Stegostoma tigrinum: one gene and its partner. The protein of the gene in region 1 purifies or fractionates together with the protein of each later gene. This does not show direct contact. Links are inferred from orthologs where the notes say so. Each region holds a gene or a part of one and is shown in the gene's direction. Other genes may lie near its edges.

Evidence for each region.
Region 2: the proteins of ube3d (region 1) and dnaaf2 purify together in Homo sapiens (affinity purification with mass spectrometry; 4 studies listed by BioGRID and IntAct, counting the BioPlex papers as one, with this or other methods). This does not show direct contact. The link is inferred for Stegostoma tigrinum from reciprocal best matches to the Homo sapiens genes UBE3D and DNAAF2.

What each region holds. Positions count from the first base shown.
Region 1 is NC_081357.1:39,201,691-39,214,073, reverse strand, and holds the start of ube3d (E3 ubiquitin-protein ligase E3D), read left to right. Parts: upstream 1-5,910; 5' UTR 5,911-7,368; intron 7,369-12,383. Other genes in the region: gap junction beta-7 protein-like, read left to right, coding at 3,705-4,463. UniProt on the Homo sapiens protein: E3 ubiquitin-protein ligase which accepts ubiquitin from specific E2 ubiquitin-conjugating enzymes, and transfers it to substrates, generally promoting their degradation by the proteasome.
Region 2 is NC_081363.1:35,789,087-35,801,275, reverse strand, and holds the start of dnaaf2 (protein kintoun), read left to right. Parts: upstream 1-4,056; 5' UTR 4,057-4,070; coding exon 4,071-5,981; intron 5,982-7,574; coding exon 7,575-7,718; intron 7,719-9,446; coding exon 9,447-10,079; 3' UTR 10,080-12,189. UniProt on the Homo sapiens protein: Required for cytoplasmic pre-assembly of axonemal dyneins, thereby playing a central role in motility in cilia and flagella.

The sequences.
Region 1 (12,383 bases):
GGAGCTTTCACTTAGTTCCTTCAGATTTCCACCATCTGCTGTATTTTGTTTTGTTTGGATGGGCAGGCTTGGGTGATGTTGTTGGTGATTGTTGTAATGATTGTACTCAGCCTTCTAGTCTGTACTGAGGAGCAGATTATCTCAGCTGTAATCTTCTTGCAACTGTAATGCATAGTTATAAAGTTTCACTCAAACTAATAGGTCACTTAGTTTAATGTGGACTGACACACCCATTGCTCCTATTCTACCAATGACGACTGACCACAGAAAATGCACAGCTCCCTCACAATGTGCCCACAATCTGGCCACTAATCCACCCTGACCACTCCCATAGCTCACTTTGCATTTGATCCTGGGATGACCTTTTTTAAGCCAAAAGCTGAGATGAGCTGGCCAAATGAATTGAAAAATAAATGCTTAGGGATAAATGAAGTGAGTCTGGAGGGTGTAGAGGTTATTTCCTCCTGTGTCTATGTTCCTGCCTTCTAGAACCTTCTCCATACCAACAAAGATTTTTTGTATTATTCCTAGCTCACGGGTACCTGGTGCTGGCACGCAGATGTGGGAGACTGACCAATTCCACATTACTGATGTCCTCTCCTTGAACAGTCCTGATCACCATCTCAGAAAAAAAAACAGTAATGTCACTAAACTAGACAGGAGCCAGACTAAAATTTTACTTTATTGATTAAACTTAAATGCAGAGTAAATTTAAGCCTAAACAAGGACACAAATTATCAAGTGAAATGCTGTACAAACCCACGATAAACATTTGTACACCATAAACAATTGCTTATGAGCTAAACTCATCATATTACTGACAGATCATGGTTGCTCAGGAGCCTGGAGCTTCGATGGCAGTAACAATTGTTGTATAATTACTGGGATCTTAAACTGACAAATTCAACAGCACGACTGCTGACAGAATGAAGCAGGTGTTAGATGGAAAAAGAACAACTGAATATGTTGTTGATCATGAAGGAGTTCCTTGGTTACAGTGAGGTGATTTACACAGAATTTGCCAATTCTGCCTGGTTAAAAAATTGCATGTTCAATATTTCATTCTTCAACATTTATGTTTAATATTCATCGTAGGGAAAGATGTAATTTGTCTCTGATTTGACTTTGGGTGTATTAATGAAACATATGAAAAGAGAATGCAATGAAATTGAATGATGTATTTGCTTGATATTGCTGCAGACCTATGTCAACAAACTCTGCATTGAATTAAAATTTGACTACCAAAACCAGCTTTTTCTATTTACAGAGTCTGTATAAATTTATCAATGCAAAGCAACTTCCATCATAAGCCACAACAAAATACATCTGTGTAATTAATTAATTTAAAATGCAGTATCAATTTACAAAAAACAAGCTTGACTAAGGAAGGGATAATGGGAACTGCAGATGCTGGAGAATCCAAGATAATAAAGTGTGAAGCTGGATGAACACAGCAGGCCAAGCAGCATCTCAGGAGCACAAAAGCTCCTGAGATGCTGATGGCCTGCTGTGTTCATCCAACTTCACACTTTATTATCTTGACTAAGGAATCCTATATTAGACTAAATCAAAAATATATTTGCATTTTTGTTTGGAACTCTCAATTAAACCACTGTATATTAATCTCTTTAAAATGTAGGATCTACAATAATAATAAAAACCTAAAGAATGGTGGATGCTGTAAATCAGGAACAAAAACTGAAGTTGCTGGAAAAGCTCAGCAGGTCTGGTAGCATCTGTGGAGGAGAAAACAGACTTAACATTTCAGTCCAGTCACCCTTCTTCAGAGCTGATGGTGGCTGGGAAATTGTCAGTTTATATGCAGAAAATAGGGAGGTGGGTGGGGTAGGGAGTAAATGATAGGATAGACCCCAAAGAGAGAGAAAGACAGTTGGACAAACAAAGGAGTTGCTAACGATCAGGCTGGGAGGGTGAATAGTTGTTAATGGGGACCGTTAGTGACTAATAACAGGGGGTGTGTAGTGGCAGGCTATGTGGTGACAAGGCCTGGTGTGTGGGGTGGGGGCTGGGACATGGGTGAGTTTAGGCCCTAAAATTATTGAACTCGATATTGAGTCCAGCGGGCTGTAGGGTCCCCAAGCGGAAAATGAGGTGTTGTTCCTCCAGCTTGCGCTGGTCTTCACTAGAACACTGTAGCAAGCGGTGGGGGATGGAGACAGGCTGCAGTGGGGAGAGAGGTTACAGCTGTCCCTTCTTATCAGGCTCCTGGGCTTTCTAAGATGGGTTCCCCTCAGCCCTCAGTTGTTTGGCCACAGCCTTCCTACCCTTTTAGCTGGTACCTCCTTTCCTTCCAGCATATCCCATACACTCTTTTCTCTCTCTAGGGATGCAGTGACGATCTCAGGTGAAGGAGCAGTACAGTACTGGCTGTAGCCACTGCTCCTGATTTGGAGGCCTGTCAGTGTCTGATTGGCCAGCAGCTCTCTGAGGAGGCCCTTCCTGATTGAAGAAAGTCTGTACTATACTCTCCCTCCATTGCCTTCACCTTCTTCCTGTAACGTGTAGACCAAAACTGTAATCAATACTCCAACTGTTGCCTTGCTATGATTTTACATATCACCTTCATATCACAACTTTGATCTTCAATACTGAGTTCGAAAGGAAAAGGCACTCAAATTAAGATGGACAGATAAAGGACTGAGATAGTATTCAAAATGGTTGGAATCAGGGCAGATGTTTTTGAGTTTCAGCTGCTAGCACTGAACCTTGCCCACCAGAATTGCAGATTGGAAAACCCTCACAACTTACCATGGAAAACCAGGGGAACAGCCCTCAAAATTTGCACAAATAATCCTTAGGTAAACCACGAAGGAATTAATGGTTTAAGGGGTCAAAACAGATTCCCTGGATGTGTCTGGGAATGGAAGGTTTGACTTATAAGGAGAGACTGGTTAGGCTGGGACCTTTATTCGCTGGAGCACAGGAGGTTGAGGGGTGACCTTATAGAGATTTATAAAGGATTTTCTTCTCCCAGAGATGGCATTCCCTCTAATTTTCCTTAACAGCTGCATGGGTTCTCAGGGGTCCAAGCATGGCTTCTGGAACTGGATATCAACCACAGGATCAGCATGCCACTGCTGACTGTTGGGTGCAGAATATCAGAGCAGCTGCCTCTAAGCAGCTTAGAGGGAATGTTGCACAGAAGCCAGAGAACATCTGGAATTCTCTACCCCAGAGATTGGATCACTGAAAGTATTTAAAAAGAAGGTAGATAGATTTTTGAAATCTGGGGGAGTTGTGGGCAATGAAGAGCTGGTGAAAGGAGAGTTGAGCCTTGGCCATGATCCTAATGAATGGTAGGTCAGACTTGAAAGGCTGAATGGCCTACACCTGCTCCTATCTCTTGTGTTCTCAATGCTTTGGTCCACTGCCCAATACTCCTTTATGCGAGTATTACAACACTTCTGTGTGGGTTCTTGGGGAGATTTATTTCATTAGATGCTCTACATAAATAAGTGCTGCCATTAAACTAAGACAGTGCAAATTGTGGCGATGTCCCTTGGGGTGCAGTGGTAGACTCCCTAAGCCTGGGCTGAGTGGGCTAGGTTCAAGGCCCAGCTGCCCCAGAGATGTGTCATGCAAGTCTGATAAGATTGATTAAAATAACTATAACTCATCCAGTGCATTAATTTCAAATTTCTTTTCTCTATTCTGTAGATTCATCATCAAGTTATTGAGGAGCCATGAGCTGGAGTTTACTCCGTGATGTTTTGAGCGGAGTGAATAAATACTCCACTGTTGTGGGGAGAATCTGGTTGAGTGTTATGTTCGTATTCCGAGTCCTTATCTATGTGGTGGCTGCAGAACGTGTCTGGAATGATGAACAGAAGGAGTTTACCTGCAACTCAAGGCAAGTTGGTTGTGAAAATGTATGTTTCGACCACTTCTTTCCAGTGTCGCACTCAAGACTTTGGGCACTGCAACTTATCTTGGTTTCTACCCCTTCTCTTCTGGTTGTCATGCATGTAGGTTACAGGGAACACCGAGAGAAGAAGTACAAAAAAAAGCTGTACAAAGACAAAGGGAACATAGATGGAGGTCTGTGGTGGACCTATTTCTTTAGCCTAGTGTTCAAAACAGGAGTTGAGTTCAGTTTCCTGTTTGTGCTGGCATGGATGTACGATGGCTTCATTATTCCTCACCTTTTGAAGTGTGAGATCAAACCTTGCCCTAATGTGGTGGATTGTTTTGTCAGTCGGCCAACAGAAAAGACCATCTTCCTCTACTGCATGGTTGCCTCCTCGGTTCTGTGCATACTGCTAAACATTTGTGAGATGAGCTACCTAATCTTAAAACATTGCAGAGATTGGTGTGAAAAGAGATCTGTGAAGCAGGCAAAACGATTGAAATGTGGATGCCGTCCTTTAGAAACGAATCAGCCTCAACGAAAAGGACTTAAAAATGGCACTTTGAGGTCTTCTGTAAGTATGTGCACTTTGTAAAATCAGAGCAACAGCAAGACAATCTCTGATATTGCGAATGAAAGCTGGCTTTAGAGCAAGAGACTTTGGTGGACAGTTACCTGTTATTTAAAGAAATAAACCAAACATGAATTATTGCATTAACAAAGACAGAGAATGCCAGAGAAACTCAGCAGGTCTGGCAGCATCTGTGGAGAGAGAAACCGAGTTAACGTTTCAAATCTAAAAACGCTTTCCCGAACTTTCACAGTCATGTTGGACTCGAAGTGTTAACTCTATTTTTCTCTCTCCACCGTTACTGCCAACCTTGCTGAACTTCTCCAGCACTTTCTACTTTTACTTTAAATCTTCAGCACCTGCAATATTTTGCTTTTATTTGATTTATGGAGCTACTGCCGAGGAATCTTTGAAGAATGTTTAAAATTTTTACTGAAAAGATTGTGGATGTGTAGAATACTAACTTCAACATGCCTTAATTACATATAATTTTGAACCAAGCTTTGTACAATTGAGTGCAGGACACATGGGTCAGCACAGAACACACGGTTGCCATATTAATTACAAAAGTCAGTTATACCTTTGTAAAAGATTATATCTTTAGTAAAAAAGATCTCCTCCCGAGTACATCTACAAATTGTGTAAACTTGGCAAGTTGATCCTAAGGTGAAAATGACCACTTATTCATTTTGATGAAAAAAAAATAGCTGTTGCGTTTTTGGGTAATCGTGAAAGTGGGTGCACAGTTGAGGAAGTCATTTACAAAGACACAAGAGCTATTGCACAGACAGTATTTACTGTCAGCCAGGCAGAATTATGGGAACATAATTTACGTGTTCTGGCGTAAAGATGTGAGGGTTGTAAGCATGCAGAGATTTTACTTCTCCGTCCTTTCGTCTTACTTTCTGACAATGACTGTAATTTGTATTGTTTATTTTACCCTGGTAAAGTTAATCCGAATTGTATCCTGACTGTTACGTAGTACATGAGAAAATGCAATCAATCATAAACAATTATTTCACTGTACGTGAAAAGACTTCCATTCATAAAAACACATTAAAAAACCCTGAATTGTATCAGTGATAATGGGAACTGCAGATGCTGGAGAATCCAAGATAATGAAATGTGAGGCTGGATGAACACAGCAGGCCCAGCAGCATCTCAGGAGCACAAAAGCTGACGTTTCCGGCCTAGACCCTCTGACGTTTCGGGAGGGTCTAGGCCCGAAACATCAGCTTTTGTGCTCCTGAGATGCTGCTGGGCCTGCTGTGTTCATCCAGCCTCACATTTCATTATCTTTAAAAACCCTGAAAGTGGGAATGAGTGACAAAGATAACAAAGTGTGAAGCTGGATGAACACAGCAGGCCAAGCAGCATCTTGCTCCTGAGACGCTGCTTGGCCTGCTGTGTTCATCCAGCTTCACACTTTGTTATCTTGGATTCTCCAGCATCTGCAGTTCCCATTATCTCTGAGTGACAAAGGCTGACTTTGCCTGTGATGCTCATGACAAAATGAAACATAGGCATATTTTGAATTCCTTTGAGAAGCTGACCCACCCTTTAGAAAATTTTTTTAAAAATCGATCAAATAATAAACACTAGAATTAAGCACTCAAAAACAAATGCAGTATCTTACCCAGAATTTAATTCTTCCCATTTTCCAATATCTTTCATCGTCTTCACCTCACAATAACCAAGTGGTCCCTTGCAAATGCTTGAGCAATATGGCTGCATTTCAGTTTCCAATATAGTTTGGGGTTGCTTTACCTTGATAACTTTTCAGTCTTTCTAATGTATATTATCTCAAAGCTGCCCCCATTCCACCACCTCTCCACTCTCCTGTTTTCTTTTCTTGATGTTACATGTTACATTGCAACTCTCCTTCTTGCCCTATAACCACGTCCTTTCTTCAGTGACTTCTTGCCCTTGATAGCTACACTTCTGTTCCCAGAGTCTCTCAGGTTCCAGAGAGTCACAAACTGTATTTGACAGGGGTTACACCGTGTTCCCAGGGGTGACTCTCTGCTCCTAGCAGTGACAAACTTTACTCCAGGTGATCACATTCTCTGGTCTCCAGAGGTTTCTCTCTCTTTTTCCACTTTGCCCCTCAGGGTCACGTTCTGGCTTCTTGTGTGTCAAAAACGTTACTGTCGGAGGTTTCACAACCTGTTTCTAATGGGGTAAATCTCAGTTCTCAGGAATTACATTCTGTTGATCATTACCTGCATCTTGCCAACTTGTCGGTCTCCCAACTTCGAGTCTCTCTCTTCCCCGCTTGCAAAGAGCTCCCAAATCCTTTTCCCAATTGCTCCAAAAGCTCTGTCCCTCGACATACTTAGCTCCAAAAAGCAACTCTCAATAAACTCCATCCCAGACTTCCCTATATTTCAGGTCCCTCACTACTACCCTATTTAACTGTATAGCTGGGCTCCTGCAGAATGCTTCGGCCTTTGCATCTTTCCCAGTGCTCAACTGTCTGAAAGCAGAAAAGACAGAACTGATGGATTTTTGGATCAAATGATCTTTCAATTGTGAAAACTTTCACAATAAGTGCACACATTTTTACTATAGATTGACAATTGATGTCACGATGAAGGAGAAACAAACCCGGGGCATCACGGAGCATTTACAATAGGACATAATTCTTTATGTAAACCAGGATACAAATAAGTCAATGGGTATTTTCTGAAATGTGACTTCTGAATGCTTAATGTGCTTCGCCCAAATTCCATTTTAATGAGGCTTTTAAATTTGGTTGGTTAGTACCATTGTAAAAATAGCATATAGAGAAATGTAGTGAGGGCTGTTTTTATTTGAACTTGACCAGTTGAAAGGCCAACTTGGACAAGGATCATCAAAGAGTCATTGTTATTGATTTAAATCTATGGCTTAATTCATTGTTGAACTTAGCTGATCTAACAAAACAGTGGTGAGTAGTATGATCGGGATCAATAAGTATATTAAGAGCAGTCTATTTTCAGTGAGGAGATTAGTGCTATGAAAGCTTTGTATGTTAACACTCCAAATCTGGTTTGACAGGCTTAACAAGCAAACAGTGTAGGTTCAGATATCTACATCAATACCATTTATGCTTTTTGGATGTAAGTTATGATTTAGGATGCATTTCTTTTCTTTTTATCTCATGATTGTTTTTCCGGCTGCAAACTAAGGAATTACTGGATTTATTAGATTATTCAATAATTACTACTCAAACTCAAATACTCTTTGGATTACTACAATCATTAAGATATTGTATTTAAACTGTTCCTGTTCATTATTTCAAATGTTGTGGACTCAATGCTTGTCTTGATAGAACATGTGTAGATTTATGCCAATATTTTATATTTGAAAAGTCAAATGTAATTTCAATATTTTACTTGATTATGCTTCTGTGAAGTACTTTGTAACTATTCTATCTATTTAAAGGCGCCATATGAATGCAAGTTGCTGCCTGCACAATGTAATTCTCTGGCAGACTTTGTCTTGAAGAAAATAAACAAATTTGTTTCATATACTTCTCAATTCATCAATTGTTGTTCATTTTACTCTTGGTCATTTTGATTGGGGTTTTCCACAATTAAAAACATTTAGCAGGTTGCATTCTAAAATGCAAATACTCCTATGATTGATGCCAATAGATCTTACTTAATGATCTTTCAGAATTTATTTTCCTCATGCTTTTACACATTTAGCAGATAGGTTTGAGAAACTGGAATGCTTTTGAGTATTTATTATTCTTCCGAAAAAGAAGGCTTGTTTAAAATCTAATTTTGACTTACTGACCGTTCCTTTAACCTAGTGCTTAGCAGTTTGAAGAATGATTATATGTGAGTGTTGCATACTATGCTTAGTCTAATACAACCCTTAAAGTTTAGTTAGTTTCGATATGGATGGGGAAACGGTTTAAACTCAATGCTGTCATGCAATTACTTCTGCTTTAAAAAAAGAGACATATCAAAAATCCAAAAATTCTGTTCCTCTTTTGTAGAATATAAAGAAGAACAACCTGGTTGAAATTAAACTGCTTGAAAATTTTATCAGAAATGGGAACTCACCAATTTGGATAGGAACCAACAATAAAAAGGCTGTTTCAGTTTTCAAAAATGTAAAGACTATTGTAAATAAGCTCCCACAGTCACAATTTGTAGGAAAATTAACTATATTTTAAGTTATTTGTGAAGTTGTAGCTTTGAACCTGAAAGATTAACTGTTTCTCTCCTCACAGATGCTGCCAGACCTGCTGAGTTTTTCCAGCATTGCCTGTTTTTATGTCAGATCTCCAGCATCCACAGTACATTTTCTTATTTGAAGCTTTTATCAGATGAGGTTTATTACTTATTGCTTCGGATATTATAAAAAGCATACCCAATGGAAGCATATCCAATGTTTGTTGTGTGCGCAAAGGTATAATTGGATGACTGTTTGTCTCACTGGGGATGAAGGAGAGTGAATGAGTGGGTAATTGTGAAAAACAGTCACTGGTAGTAAAAATGGATGTACTAAGTGTAACAATGAACATAGTAAGTCAACGATTGCTTTCAATACAACAGAATGACATTAGTGGATTATGATGGATTAGCTTGAACACTGCTCACATAGAGTCTCTGGCACAGAGTCTGTCCCTGCTGCTCAGAAGGGAAGGGGGAAGAGGAGCAGAGTCATTGGGGGCTCCAATGTTAGGGGGACAGATAGGAGGTTCTGTGGGGACGAGAGGGACTCACGGTTGGTGTGTTGCCTCCCAGGTGCCAGGGTGCGTGATGTCTCTGATTGTGTTTTTGGGATCCTTAAGGGGGAGGGGGAGCAGCCCCAAGTCGTGGTCCACATTGGCACCAATGACATAGGTAGGAAGAGAGATGGGGATTTAAGGCAGAAATTCAGGGAGCTAGGATGGAAGCTGAGAGCTAGGATGAACAGAGTTGTTGTCTCTGGTTTGCCCGTGCCACATGCTAGTGAGGCGAGGAATAGGGAGAGAGAGGAGTTGAACACGTGGCTACAGGGATGGTGCAGGAGGGAGGGTTTTGGATTCTTGGGTAATTGGGGCTCTTTCTGGGGTAGGTGGGACCTCTACAAGCAAGATGGTCTTCACCTGAACCAGAGGGTACCGATATCCTGGGGGGGAAATTTGCTAAGGCTATTCGGGTGGGTTTAAACTAATTCAGCAGGGGGATGGGCACCAAAATTGTAGTTCGACTATAGAAAAGGTTGAGAGTAGGGTGGTCCAAAATAAAGTTTCAGGGAAGCAAGATGGCACCGGCAAGCAAGAAGTTGGTTTGAAGTATGTCTACTTCAATGCCAGGAGCGTCCGGAATAAGATGGGTGAACTTGCAGCATGGGTTGGTACCTGGGACTTCGATGTTGTGGCCATTTCAGAGACATGGATAGAGCAGGGACAGGAATGGTTGTTGCAGGTTCCGGGATTTAGATGTTTCAGTAAATACAGAGAAGATGGTAAAAGGGGCGGAGGTGTGGCATTGTTGGTCAAGGACAGTATTACAGTTGCAGAAAGGATGTTTGGGAATTCGTCAACTGAGGTAGTTTAGGCTGAGGTTAGAAATAGGAAAGGAGAGGTCACCCTGTTGGGAGTTTTCTGTAGGCCTCCGAATAGTTCCAGAGATGTAGAGGAAAGGATAGCAAAGATGATTCTTGATAGGAGTGAGAGAGACAGGGTAGTTGTCATGGGGGACGTCAACATTCCAAATATTGACTGGGAACACTGTAGTTCGAGCACTATAGATGGGCCAGTTTTTGTCCAGTGTGTGCAGGAGGTCTTCCTGACACAGTATGTAGATAGGCCAACAAGGGGAGAAGACACATTAGATTTGGTACTGGGTAATGAGCCTGGCCAGGTGTTAGATTTGGAAGTAGGTGAGCACTTTGGTGATAGTGATCACAATTCTGTTATGTTTACTTTAGTGATGGAAAGGGATAGGTGTATACCACTGGGCAAGAGTTATAGCTGGGGGAAAGGCAATTACGATGAGATTAGGCAAGATTTAGGGAGCATAGGATGGGGAAGGAAACTGCAGGGGATGGGCACATTAGAAATGTGGAGCTTATTCAAGGAAAAGCTCCTGTGTGTCCTAGATAAGTATGTACCTGTCAGGCAGGGAGGAAGCTGTAGAGTGCGGGAGCCGTGGTTTACAAAGGAGGTGGAATCTCTGGTCAAGAGGAAGAAGAAGGCTTATGTTAGGATGAGATGTGAAGGCTCAGTTAGGGCACTTGAGGGCTACGAGGTAGCTAGGAAAGACCTAAAGAGAGAGCTGAGAAGAGCCATGAGGAGACATGAGAAGTTGTTGGCGGATAGGATCAGGGTAAACCCTAAGGCTTTCTATAGGTATTTAAGGAATAAAAGAATGATGAAAGTAAGATTAGGCCCAATCAAGGATACTAGTGGTAAGTTGTGTGTGGAGTCAGATGAGATAGGGGAAGTGCTAAATGAATATTTTTCAACAGTATTCACTCTAGAAAATGACAATGTTGTCGAGGAGAATACTGAGATACAGGCTACTAGACTAGGTGGGATTGAGATTCACAAGGAAGAGTTATTAGAAATCCTTCAGATGCTGAAGATAGATAAGTCCCCTGGGCCAGATGCGATTTATCCTCGGACCCTCTGGGGAGCCAGGGAGGAGATTGCCGAGCCTTTGGCATTGATCTTTAACTCGTCATTGTCTACAGGAATAGTGCCAGATGACTGTAGGATAGCAAATGTGGTTCCCCTGTTCAAGAAGGGAAGTAGAGACAACCCTGGTAATTATAGACCAGTGAGCCTTACCTCAGTTGTTGGTAAAGTGTTGGAAAAGGTTATAAGAGATAGGATTTATAATCATCTAGAAAAGAATAAATTGATTAGGGATAGTCAGCACAGTTTTGTGAAGGGAAGATTGTGCTTCACAAACCTTATTGAGTTCTTTGAGAAGGTGACCAAACAGGTAGATGAGAGTAAACCGGTTGATGTGGTGTATATGGATTTCAGCAAGGCGTTCGATAAGGTTCCCCACAATAGGCTATTGTACAAAATGCGGAGGAATGGAATTGTGGGAGACATAGCAGTTTGGATTGGAAATTGGCTTGCTGAAAGAAGACAGAGGGTGGTAGTTGATGGGAAATCTTCATCCTGGAGACCAGTTACTAGTGGTGTACCGCAAGGGTCGGTGTTGGGTCCACTGCTGTTTGTCATTTTTATAAACGACCTAGATGAGGGCGTAGAAGGATGGGTTAGTAAATTTGCAGATGACACTAAGGTCAGTGGAGTTGTGGATAGTGACGAAGGATGCTGTGGGTTGCAGAGAGACATAGATAAGCTGCAGAGCTGGGCTGAGGGGTGGCAAATGGAGTTTAATGCGGACAAGTGTGAGGTGATGCACATTGGTAGGAGTAACCAGAAGGCAAAGTACAGGACTAATGGTAAGATTCTTAGTAGTGTAGATGAGCATGAGCAGAGAGATCTCGGCGTCCATGTACGCAGATCCTTGAAAGTTGCCACCCAGGTTGACAGGGCTGTTAAGAAGGCATACAGTGCTGTAGCTTTTATTAATAGAGGGATCGAGTTCAGGAACCAAGAGGTTATGGTGAAACTGTACAAAATTCTGGTGCGGCTGCACTTGGAGTATTGCATAATAGTTCTGGTCACCGCATTATAAGAAAGATGTGGAAGCTTTGGAAAGGGTGCAGAGGAGATTTACTAGGATGTTGCCTGGTATGGAGGGAAGGTCTTACGAGGAAAGGCTGAGGGACTTGAGGCTGTTTTCATTAGAGAGAAGAAGGTTGAAAGGTGACTTAATTGAAACATATAAAATAATCAGGGGGCTAGATAGGGTAGATAGGGAGAGCCCTTTTCCTAGGATGGTGACGGTGAGTACGAGGGAGCATAGCTTTAAATTGAGGGGTGAAAGATATAGGACAGATGTTAGAGGTAGTTTCTTTACTCAGAGAGTAGTAAGG
Region 2 (12,189 bases), on another chromosome or scaffold:
TCAAACCTCTCAGGATCTTCTGTATTTCAATCAAGTTACTTCTTACTCTTCTAAACTCCAATGGATAAAAGCTTAACATGCCCAACCTTTCCTCTTAAGAAAAGCCCACCTTCTCAGAATTGCCTCCAATACATGTACACAATTCCTTAAATAAAGTGAAAATATGGGGATGTACAGTATTCCAACTGCTGTCTGATTAGTGCTCTGTATAACTGAAGCACAACCTCCCTCCTTTTGTATTCCATTCTCTGTTCTGTTTAATTTATATTAAGTGGTCATTCTTGCCACTCCTTCCTGCATCATCCCTTTCGTCCATGTTTACGAGGGTGTAATATCGGAGTCAAGTAGCCATGGTGGAACCCACGTACAGCATCAGTCAGCAAGTTATTCCTTTGCAAATATCAATTAATAGGAGGTCAATTAGCTCAGTTGGCTGGTTTGCAACGCACAGTGATGCAAACAGCATGGATTCAATTCCTGCACTGGTTGAGGTCACTATTAATTTTCTACCTTCTCACCCTGCCCCCTCACCTGAAGTGTGGTGACCTTTGGATTAAACTCACCACCAGTAATCTCTAATGAGGGCAGCCCTCTGGAACAATAAATAATGTTCTATTAGCTTGCCCAATTACTATCTACATGCATACTAATCTTTCATAAGTTGTGCATATTACATTCCCATTTGACAGATCTCTGCCCACTTATTTAATCTATCAATATATTTTTGTAGCATTCTCATGTCTTCTTCACAACTTACTTTCCTACATCTGTGACATCAGAAAATTTGGCAGCCATATCCTTCGTCCCTTCACGTAAATCATTTATATAAATTGTAAACAGATGAAATCTCAGTGCCAATCCTTGTGGAACACCACTTGTTACATCCAGCAACCTGAAAAGGACCCATTCATGCCCACATTAGTTATCAGTGAACCAATCTTTTAACCGCACCAATATGCAATCACCACACTATGAACTTTTATCTTCCACAACAACCTTTGATGTGGTAGATTATCAAATAAGTTTTGGAAATCTAATTAAAGTATATTTACCAATTCCCCTTTATCTACAGCAAGTATTATATCTTTAATGAACTCCAGTAGATTGGTCAAACATGATTTCCCTTGTAATATTAATTCTGCCTGATGACCTTAAACTTATCCAAGTGCCTTCCCTTAACTTTAATAATAGCTTCTATCATTTTCCCTATGACGGATGTTAAGCCAACTGTTGTAGTTTCCTAGATGTGAGGCTGGATGAACACAGCAGGCCAAGCAGCATCTCAGGAGCACAAAAGCTGACGTTTCGGGCCTAGACCCTTCATCAGATGCTCTGATGAAGGGTCTAGGCCCGAAACGTCAGCTTTTGTGCTCCTGAGATGCTGCTTGGCCTGCTGTGTTCATCCAGCCTCACATTTTATTATCTTGGAATCTCCAGCATCTGCAGTTCCCATTATCTCTGTTGTAGTTTCCTGCTTTATGCCTCCCTTTTTGCTCCCTTTTGCTATACTCCAACCCAGTTGGACCATTCCTGAATGGAGTGTGTTTTGGAAAATTAAAACCAAATACATTAATTATCTCAGATAATAAAATGTGAGGCTGGATGAACACAGCAGGCCCAGCAGCATCTCACGAACACAAAAGCTGACATTTCGGGCCTAGACCCCTCTGATGAAGGGTCTCGGCCCGAAACGTCAGCTTTTGTGCTCCTGAGATGCTGCTTGGCCTGCTGTGTTCATCCAGCCTCACATTTTATTATCTTGGATTCTCCAGCATCTGCAGTTCCCATTATCACATTAATTACCTCACTAGCCTTTTCTTTTAAGAACTCTAGGGTGAAGCCCAACAGAGCCTGGATATTTTAAGCTTGCAGCCCAACAATTTACTCAGCAACACTTCTCAAGTGATTGTGATTTTCCTCTGACCTCGCTGCTTTCCATCTCCTGATCTATTGTTACTTCTGATATGTTACTTGTTTCTTCTAAACTGAAGACAGTTGCAAAACATCTGTTCACTGCATCAGATATTTCCTTATTTTCCATTATTAATTCTCTAGTTTAACTTTCTATAGGACTAACACATCGCTAACTGTTTTGTTGAAATATTTATAGAAACTCTTCCTAATGATTTAATATTTCTGGCTGTCTTTTTTGTACTCTATAATTATTTCCTTTTTTTTAGTAATGCTTTGCTGCTTTTAAATATCTGTCCTGTCTTCTGACCTGCTTTTTCTTTGAATTTGAAGCTACCTTTAGCCTTTTCTTGTTAACTGCAGATGGTAAGTCTGTCTCTTTGATTTTTTTTCTTATTCATTGGAATAAATATCCACTGTATATTCTGAAATATCTCCTTGATGTTTGCTACTGCATCTCTATTGACCTATTCTTTAAACTAATTGCCAGTTTATCTTAGCCAGGACCCACTATTTTCTGCCTAAAACTGAATGTAAAATTCAATAATACTATGTTGCTGCTACCTAGTGACACCAAGTCACATCAAGTTCAGTTTTCTTTGCCTGTGCTTGGTGATCTGCATTGGAAACTACCAAACAACACAGTTAAAAACATTCTTGTCCTACCTTTCAGATCCCTTCATGGCCTTGCTCCTCTAATTCTGCTCTATTGCACACTCTCAATTGTAGTTGCTCCATGGTTGGTCTAAAATTGCCTAGGTTCTAAGCTTCAGAATAATTTCTCCAAACCTCCTTGTTTCTCTATCTACTTCACTGCTTTAAGATTTTCCTCCTTTAAGTTACTACATAAAGCTGGCCTCTATTCACTTAACAAATTTTTGTGGACCTCACTGACATACTTTGCTGTATAATGCTCCTATGAAATGCCTTGGGCCATTTTATGATGTTAAAAATATTTTAACAAGTAAGTTGATGTTATCTTCTTTGTCCTGACTCATAATTTGAACAAAGTTAGAAGTTGCATGACATCAGGTTATAGTCCAACAGGTTTAGTTGAAATCACAAGTTTTTGGAATGCTGCTCCTTTACCAGGTGAGGTGAAGGGAAGCGTGCAGGCACAGAATTTATAAGCGGAGCGATAATGGGAAGATAATTCCAGGTAATTAAGAGTGTCAAAAGATAAGTACAAAGTCTTTTGACACTCTTAATTACCTGGAATTATCTTCCCAATATCTCTCCACTTATAAATTCTGTGCCTGCACATTTCTCTTCACTTCACCCGACAAAGGAGCAGCACTCTGAAAGCTTGTGATTTCAAATAAACCTGTTGGACTATAATCTGATTACGTGTAACTTCTGACACTGTCCACTCCAGTCTAACACCTGCACCTCCACTCTCAATCTTTTATTTTTAATCAGGACAGCTCCATCTTATTCATCCACAGAACAATTCTTGTAAATCATTTTTTGTACCCTCTACACTGCCTTCACATTCATCAGTGCTAGAGTTACGTCGTAACTAGTGTTGTACAGCTGGTACGTAATTCGATCCATTGAGTTTTATTCTGACAGTTGACAGTAGGAAGGTTTACTACTTCTAATGCTTGAAATCAACAGCTAACTACTAGAGATAAATTATTTGAAAGTTGATAATCACGTAGAGTTGGCGATCCAGTGTCCACGTAATTATGATATTGAGCCATATTCTTGTTCAACTTGGTTTCTTAACTTAAAAGATCCTACAGGCAGCGTCACCGATGAAACTATTTGTTTCGGCAGTTCCCAACTGCGGGCAATATTTGTGTAATAACAATCAGAGTTTATTTACAACATGCTACCAATCCGATCGTAAATAAAGCAGCGCTCAGGCCGGGTCTGTGTTTGGGTTTGATCGACGTCTCCTTGGCAACCACGACACATCACATCGGGTCGTTTCCGACCTTAATCCGCCACACATTATACAACACGTAGTTACCCAACGTTCTACATCCCCAAGGCATAAAATCGCGTTACTTTCAAACACATTACTAAACAGATTTTAAAAAAACTTTCGGAGTTGGATCAAGGGGGAGATTAATGTGAAGGATCACCAAACTTTTCGTATGTTGACGTCATCAGGGTGCGACCTCGCCCGGCGGATGAAGAGGCGGAACTATAACATGGCGTCTTTCTCTAAACTCGAGGAGTTGGACTTGACTCAGGATGAAGTGGAACGCTTCTCCACAGCGTTTAAAGATGAAAAGTTCAGAAAAATGCTCTGTGAATATGCGGAGGAAATCTCCAATCCGGAAAATAAGAAAAAGTACGAAGAGGAAATCACTCAACTTGAAAAAGAGAGGGGCATGGACGTTAAGTTCGTGCATCCCAAACCAGGTTATGTCCTAAAAACCAGCGTCAATGGGGACCAGAAATGTTTCATCAACGTGTGCAGTAACGACTTGATAAATAAACCCGTTTGCAAAGCTGGAAAGGGTGCCAATGGGAAAGTGGGACAACATTGGTCTCTTCCCTACAGTCTGGCGCCGGGGAGAGAAGATCTGGGTAAAGATGGCAGAAAACACATGATTTACGATGTAGTCTTTCATCCAGACACGTTGTATATGGCGAATAAAAACCAGAAGTTCAAAACAATGGTAGATCAAACTTCAATTGAAGTGATCGAGAAGCAACTAAATGCCAAACTAGATTTAAGAAATGTTAAAACTTTAAAAGCAAAATACAAGGGAATGCCTGAGGCTGCTGTCATTCGAAAACCTATTCCTGGTGTTCCCAGGGAACCTCCAGATGAAGAGGACCCTTTACGGTTTCCTTACCCCTTTGGTTCCCCAAAGTCAGAAATGGCCTCTGGAAATGGCACAAAATCTAAAACAACAAGCAAAAGTTCAAAATCTGCTGTGAAGGACAAGAATACAAAAACACAAGACGGCAAGTTTACTCAACCCAAATATGCCATTGTTCACAGGTCACATGTTGATTTGCAAGATTATCGATACGCTCGTGAATCTGCTCCCAGCACCAGACCTAAAGAACTGGTGATTACTATTGACCTCCCTTTGCTTAAGTCTGCTGAAAATGCTTGTTTAGCTGTAACTGAGCAATTTTTAAGTTTGGAGTCACAGAAACCGGCTTACAAGCTTAATTTAAAACTCCCTTACCCAGTAGATGAAAATCTGGGGTCAGCTACATTTAACAAATCTAAGAGGCAGCTTGTGGTTACTTTGCCTGTGCTATGTTTGGAGCAAGCCCTAGAAACTGGACAGTTTTCAGCTGGTGATTTTGAACAATCAAGGACTGAGTCCACAGAGAGTGGCCAATCATATTGTGAATCAGAATTTTATGAGCTTGAAAGACATTTACGTCATCAAAATGGAGAGCGTTTTGGTGCTTGTGTGAATCCAAAAAGTGAATTTGAACTTAGAACCCTACAAGATTCCAACCTGGAGCAATCTGAGAATGATGAACACTTGAAATTGAGCCAAAGCAAAACTCTTACAGAGTCAGTCACTAAAGAGACTGCATTAGTTTCAAATAATACTTTAGTGAAACCAAGTGACGTAATCGCTTTTTCCAAACTTGTTTCAGAGGTAGATCCTGAAGAACAGGAAAATGTCACAAATGCAATGAGTGGTAAAGAATCTCTTGGGTCTGTGGAAGAGGCATGCACGCGTTCTGTGGGTGAGGAAATAGATGATTATCTACAATTAGATTCCTCTGCAAATACTGCATTCAACTTAGATAACTGTTTAAAGAAAACAGAACCAGTATGTCCTGACTTGCATTACCATCAAAACAAAGATGCTATAACATTCATACTGCAAGTGCAAAATATTAATGAAGAAAGCTTCAAGTCAGTACTTCAAACTCATGAATATAGTGTTATATTTGGAACACAGGATTCTGATGTCATATATTCTTTGAGAGTTCAATTTCCTCCAGAACATCAGCTGGACACCACAGAAACAGTTGTTAATATATCTAAAGACAATGCTGCAGTTGTGTTAATGAAATCACCTGAGTGTCGAGGCTTGTGGCAAAGCTTTCATGCTGGAGGTACATGCAACCGTTTGCAGGTAACTTTGTAGATCGCAGAAATATCTTGCCACATACAAAATGCAATTGCAACAATTGTTCTGCCTTCACTAATTAGTCTGTGCATTCCTGCAGCTTTTTTAAAAGCAATACTGAAAACATTTTAAAATCATCCTATTGCTGTTTATTTTTAGGGACAAACTAGTAACTAGGTTAATGAAAGGCAATGCAGTATCTTAGTCCCTAAAAAAAACTTCCATAATGAATTGTAGAATGTTGTTGGAAATTGTCCTCTTGGGTATAATGTAAGCTGTCTCCTAGGTAAACAATGATGGGCGGTGCTTTCCCAGGGATTGTCAGTATGATAAAAACATTTATGCAGTCATTTCCTTGCTATAAATTTAATGAGTAATTACAAAAAAAATCCTTACAATGCTATACAAAATGATCTGGATCTTTTAAATAATACAAATTGCAGTATCTTTGTCTCTTTATCTATTGAAAGTTGATTTCAGAAACACTTGCCTGTTGCAAACATTGTGTATGCTTAGCATATATAGTAACTTATGTACTGGTGCAATGTGTATACACCATTCACCCACTTTTTTTTCTTAATTCACTCATGGGCATGGGTGTTGCTGATGGCCAGCATTTATTACCTGTCCCTAGTTGCCCTTGAGAAAGTGGTGATGAGCTGCCTTGTACCTCTGCACTCCATATGCTGTAGGTAGGTCCATAATCCCATTTGGAAGGGTGAGGGAAATTTTCAGATTGCCCATCTTTGTTTACCTTGGAGACACCTTACATTACATTCAAGAGTAACCAATTATGAAATGTCAACATATAACAGACCTTTCCCCATTTCAAAGATACAGAAAATAAAAAGATGCAATCTTTACTTACCTACAGTGGAGAAATCAAGGTGTGGGAATGGGAGGTTAATGTGTCTTCATTAAAAAGGTTAAACCTGCAATGGACAGTTTGAGCTGAGTTTGGTTTCCAGTTTGAAGGAGACTGCATTTGTGAGCAGTATAGTGGATTCAAGAATCTCTTGCACGGACAATTATTGACTAGGGAGGGCAGTTAACAAAAGGAATTGTATTGTTGTAGTATATTCAACACTGCTTTTTATTCCATCTTACATTGCACAATCTAATATGAAATTACGTGACTAAAACTTAACATAATTGGTTATATTTTTTAGTTATACTATAAATGGTAGTTGGGACTGAGCAGTTTCCCACTTGTAGATTTACAAGTATGCGAATGGCAATGTAAATTTCAAGACACTTGGTTCATTTGAAAATTAATTTGAATATCAGTTTATTAGAACTGTATCACTTTATGTATTCAGTGAGAGATTATATGTTTATTTGTTTTATTCAGAGACCAGTTAAATTTGCACGTGGTTTTAATACATTTATACTATATACCAGTAATACACAGTACCAAAACCCATTCTTATTAATGTAGGTTGACACTTTGTGAAAATACTACAGTATTGTAGGAGTCAAGTTAAGTTTAAATAATTTGTAGATTTTGTTCGAGGAGTACGATTTGTAAAAGTGCATAAACAATTAAGTATGTTTCATCAGATGTATTAAATAAGTGAATAAAGTGTTCTTTTTATTTAGAAGAAACTATTTGTAACTTCAGAAAATATCAGTCAATTCTTGAGTACTACTTTGGAGGATCCAGTCCCAAATGAGCTATCAAGAAAACATCCTTTGATTAGTGTGACGGAAGTCAGTGAAAGTGGTCTTGTTATTCATTCTAAGGTGAGTTATGTGAAACTAGATCCAAAGATTCAACAAGAACAGAATATCGTTCACAAACTATCCTGTATTGACCATTGAGATAAACATTGCAGAACAGTCATGGCATTGCTTTACAAAGCAGAAATAAGTTGTTGTATATTAACTAAGAAGATTTAAAAGTATGTTCTTTCCCGAGATAATCTTTGTCAATTACTGTATTTCTCCTCTGTTATCTCTGCTGAACACTGAGCATTCTTTCTGCATTAACCTGTAGCGATTATTGTTAGGTATTTGATGGCAGTAAATATTGTTGCTGAGCATAATTCAGTGCTTATCCAATATCCAAATGCAAGAATGTCAAAAGTGAATTGTGCTATTTTATTCAACATTTAGCAATGGAAAGTTGCAGACACTTATTGCCCCAACCAATGTCATTTTTTAACCACATATCATCTGTGGGCGTAAGTTCTCTACAAGTATCCAGCATGGCAAGGAAGGCAACGAGCTAGTCAGCTTGCTATCCTATCACCTAAAGACGCTATTCTAATGAAAAACAGAAATCTTTGTTAACCCATCCAAACTGGTACACTGTTTTAAGAAGCTGAAACGCAAGAGGAGTCCAGACCTGGGGCGAATTAGCCATGATTTTACAGAATGGCAGGGTAGATTTGAGGGGCTGTATGGCCTATTCGTCCTATTTCTTACATTTATTTTTGCATAAAATTTGTTCAAGTTAATCGACAAAATAACATTGGTTCTGAAGATTCAAGCATTTTGAGGAAACAATGAATTTCGGTTAAAACAGAAATTCACTTTTAACATGTATGTTTGCACATGATTTAAGTTTGATGTATTTGTTTCTTTTCTCGGTTCCAAATTGGATGTTTTTTGTGTCCCTGGAAAAATAGGGTTAGATAATTCAAGATTTTTCTTTTAGTAGTTTTCTTTGATCATATATGTTATAGAAAAATTGTAAAGCTCTCTTAAATTTGATTCCAGGTTAATCTTATTTGTATTTACTATTGGATATTTTAAAATGTTCTGTATTAGGTATACTGCATTTGGAAATTGATCATTTCCTGCTACTCTTCATTCAATTAATTATTTGTGGTAATAACTGTAAGAAAAATATTACATCCACCACCTCTTGGCATGGAATCGTAGAATCTTATTTGGTCTATTATGCTTGTGCCAGCTCTTTAAACACATTGTCCAATTAGTACCATTCTCTTGTTCTTTCCTCTGTCACTGCAATGTTTTCCTTTTCAAGTAGGTATCCAATTTTATTTTGAAAGTTACTCTAACTGCACTGGTAACTAAAAATTTGAATTGTTAGCAAATTTCTTTTGCTAGATTTTTGAAATATTGAGGAACTGAGACCTGTGACTGTTGAATCTGCTTCAGACTGAAACTAATATTTACATTCTACTTGTATTTTTTGGTAGCGTTCGATGAAAATTTAAAATTGCTGTGTAATGTTGTTATGCAGATCTTTATTTCAGGTAATTATAATGACATTCAGTACTATTATTCGTGCATATCAAACAGTTCCCTCAAACTCAACAGACGGAAGTAACCACAGAAACAGTGATATTATACCAGGGAACCATTACTGAAATCTGTCAAATCCTTGGCTGCCTTTACTGGCATTTTTGTTTAGAGGCCTTGTAAATGAGAAATTGATCAGTGATTTTTTTTTTACAACTAATCTTTTAATTCAGGCAAATACTGTTGATTTTATAATTTCAGCAACAAGAAAGTGAGAATACCAGTTCCCATAGACTTTTCCTGAAGCCAGATGGAGTTAACTACAATGAAGCTTATAATGCTGATTCAAACATTCAACAACAGACGGGAGAAATTTACCCCTCTGAAACTACTGCAGAGGATAACACATTGAAAAAAGAGACATCCTTAGTAAATGATGCTCCTGAGTCTGTGTCTAATCACAAAGACCAGTTACTGATGGCAGGAGAAGGAACAATTGTAAAAGTTTCAAAGGACATGGATCAGTTGCTTGACAGTAACAGTTGGACTGCTGTTAATGCAAGTAAACTTAGTGAGGTTAAAATAAAAAGTGAGTCAGTTATGTCACCCTCTCACATGAGTACAATATATGCTGACAAACCACAATCTGTAAATTGTAAAAAATCAGTACAATTTAAACAGTGCGAAGAAGTGGATGGTGGTTATATACTTGATGAAGATGACCTTCCAAGTAACCATAAGGATGGGAACACTCCTAAGTTTACTAATACTACGGCTCCACTGCAAATTCTTGAGGAAATCAATCCCAGTGACCAAAGTATTAAGATTATAAGTGACCATAAAACACAATCTGCATTCAATTTTCAGAATATGGAATTGTATCAACTAGACTAAAGAAATGTGTGATATGGTTAGAAAGGAATCATTAACTTTATTTACCTTATTTAAGACTTCGCACTTCAGGGGTCTGAACAAACAAAGGTTGCGTCTCAACTTTAAACCTGTAATACACTGTGGTATAGGTTGGTTTGCATTTTAAGTTGCATTCCAAATCTCAAAATGAGTTTAATTTTTGGTTAGCACTTGGCCATGTCATAACAGCCGAACTGGCAATTTCTATGACAGTTTCTGATTTGTAATTAAGTCTGCAGATTTGTCAGCAACAGCTGATTTTAAAAAGTTTCAGCTCTGTATTTTTATTTCTATTTTGTTGAATCTCTTGCAATTAACTTTACCTGGCAAGTCTACTATATAATTTCAATAAAGAAGTTAAAAACTGTTATAAATTCTGCATCTGGTTTCAAATGCCAAAACTAATTTATGATAAAACAATTTTTTTTTTAATCACTTGATAATTTAAGTTATTGATTTTTTTTGGAGTTTGCGATCACTGTTATCTTAAGATTACAGTAATAATGCAGTGGACAAATTTCCGACCTCTGAGCCAGAAGCTCTGTCTCAGAGTTCCACCTCGAGACTTGATGGCCAGGAAACGTCATTCACAATGCAGCTGAACAGTTTGATGATTAACCTTGAAATCCTTCCAACACATGCCATTGACAGCATTAGGCTACCTGGCCAGCCATATGCTGAAAACAAAATCACAGCCTTTCCCATTGTCATCTAAATCTCCGTTCTACAACATGCATGGAAAAAAATGTGCATGTTCAAACAGCACTTCAGTTTGAGTGAGCTAAAGACACCACCACCAATATTTTTGGTAGTATCAATATTCAAACTTCATGTTGGTTCCCTAACTCTGAGTTAAAAACAAAAATACTCTTTAAAAACTACATATACAATTCTTCAATTTCCCTGATGGATTGAATCTTGCCAATTTGAATTGCAAGTTTCACCTTCTGCTCCTCTATCAGTTGGACTGGAGCATCAGATGGGTACAAGGGATTATGTCCGAAGATGGAGACTGGTGTTTTAGGGAGAAATCTTCAAGCTGGAAGTAATTAGAATTAAGCTAGGATAATGGGGTACAGTGGATCAAAGTTGGAAGATTAGAAATATTGGCACAGGCAAATGATTGGACGAGATTTCAAAGGTAGGGAGGGATGATAGCAGTAAAGAGTTGAAAATTGGAAATTTTCAACTATTACATTGAATAATCTGAATATATGTTAATTAGATTTTGTCTGAGATAAATTGGGGAGGAACTGTTGGACTACTAAATGAAGGAGGCACCCATTTCATATATAACTTGCAGTGCTCCCAATTATCAAGTGATTGTTTTAGGTTATGAGCATTTTCACTTCAAGTGCATTGATTGATTTTACAACAGTAGAAAAGGCTATCCAAACCATAGCGAAAAAGGAGGTAGTTGAGACATTGAATGGACAAACACTTAAGAGAGAGAGGTATTAGAAAGGCTGACTCTACATAAAAGTTGAAAAAAATCACCAGATATGAATGGGATGCATCCTAGGATGCTGAAGGAAGTAAGGGATGGTACTTAGGATGCAGAAAAATTGAAAATCTTATGTCCTTAAAAGAAAGCGTGCAAAGAATGGCAAGAAAGATTTTAGAAACAATGACCTGGACAAAATTAAGTCATTTGGATACGTGTGCATGATGAGCAGCATGCTGAAGCAGAGAGACTTGGAATACTCTTCCACATCTCTTCAGCCTCAAATTTTCCTCCTTAAAACATTCCATGAAACATGCCTCTTTGACCAAGCTTTTAGTTGTCTTACTTAATATCTCCATGTGTGACTCCTTGCCCTGTTTTGTTTAATAATAGTCCTGTAATGTGCCTTGGACTGTTGCATCTTGAAGTCTCAGGTTTTTATGTTTTGAATTAATGTTGTGGTTACTATTGTTTCCTGTGTGGTCATGCTGGATCAAGCACTCCCAAAAGGTGATATTATTGGAATGGCACACAAGCATTTACTTAAGTTTCCTTGTGGATAAGTGATGAAAACATCCTGTAGCTCTTTAACAGCACTGTGGGCATGCCTACAACCACATTGGAAGGAACAGTTCAAGGCAGGTTTTC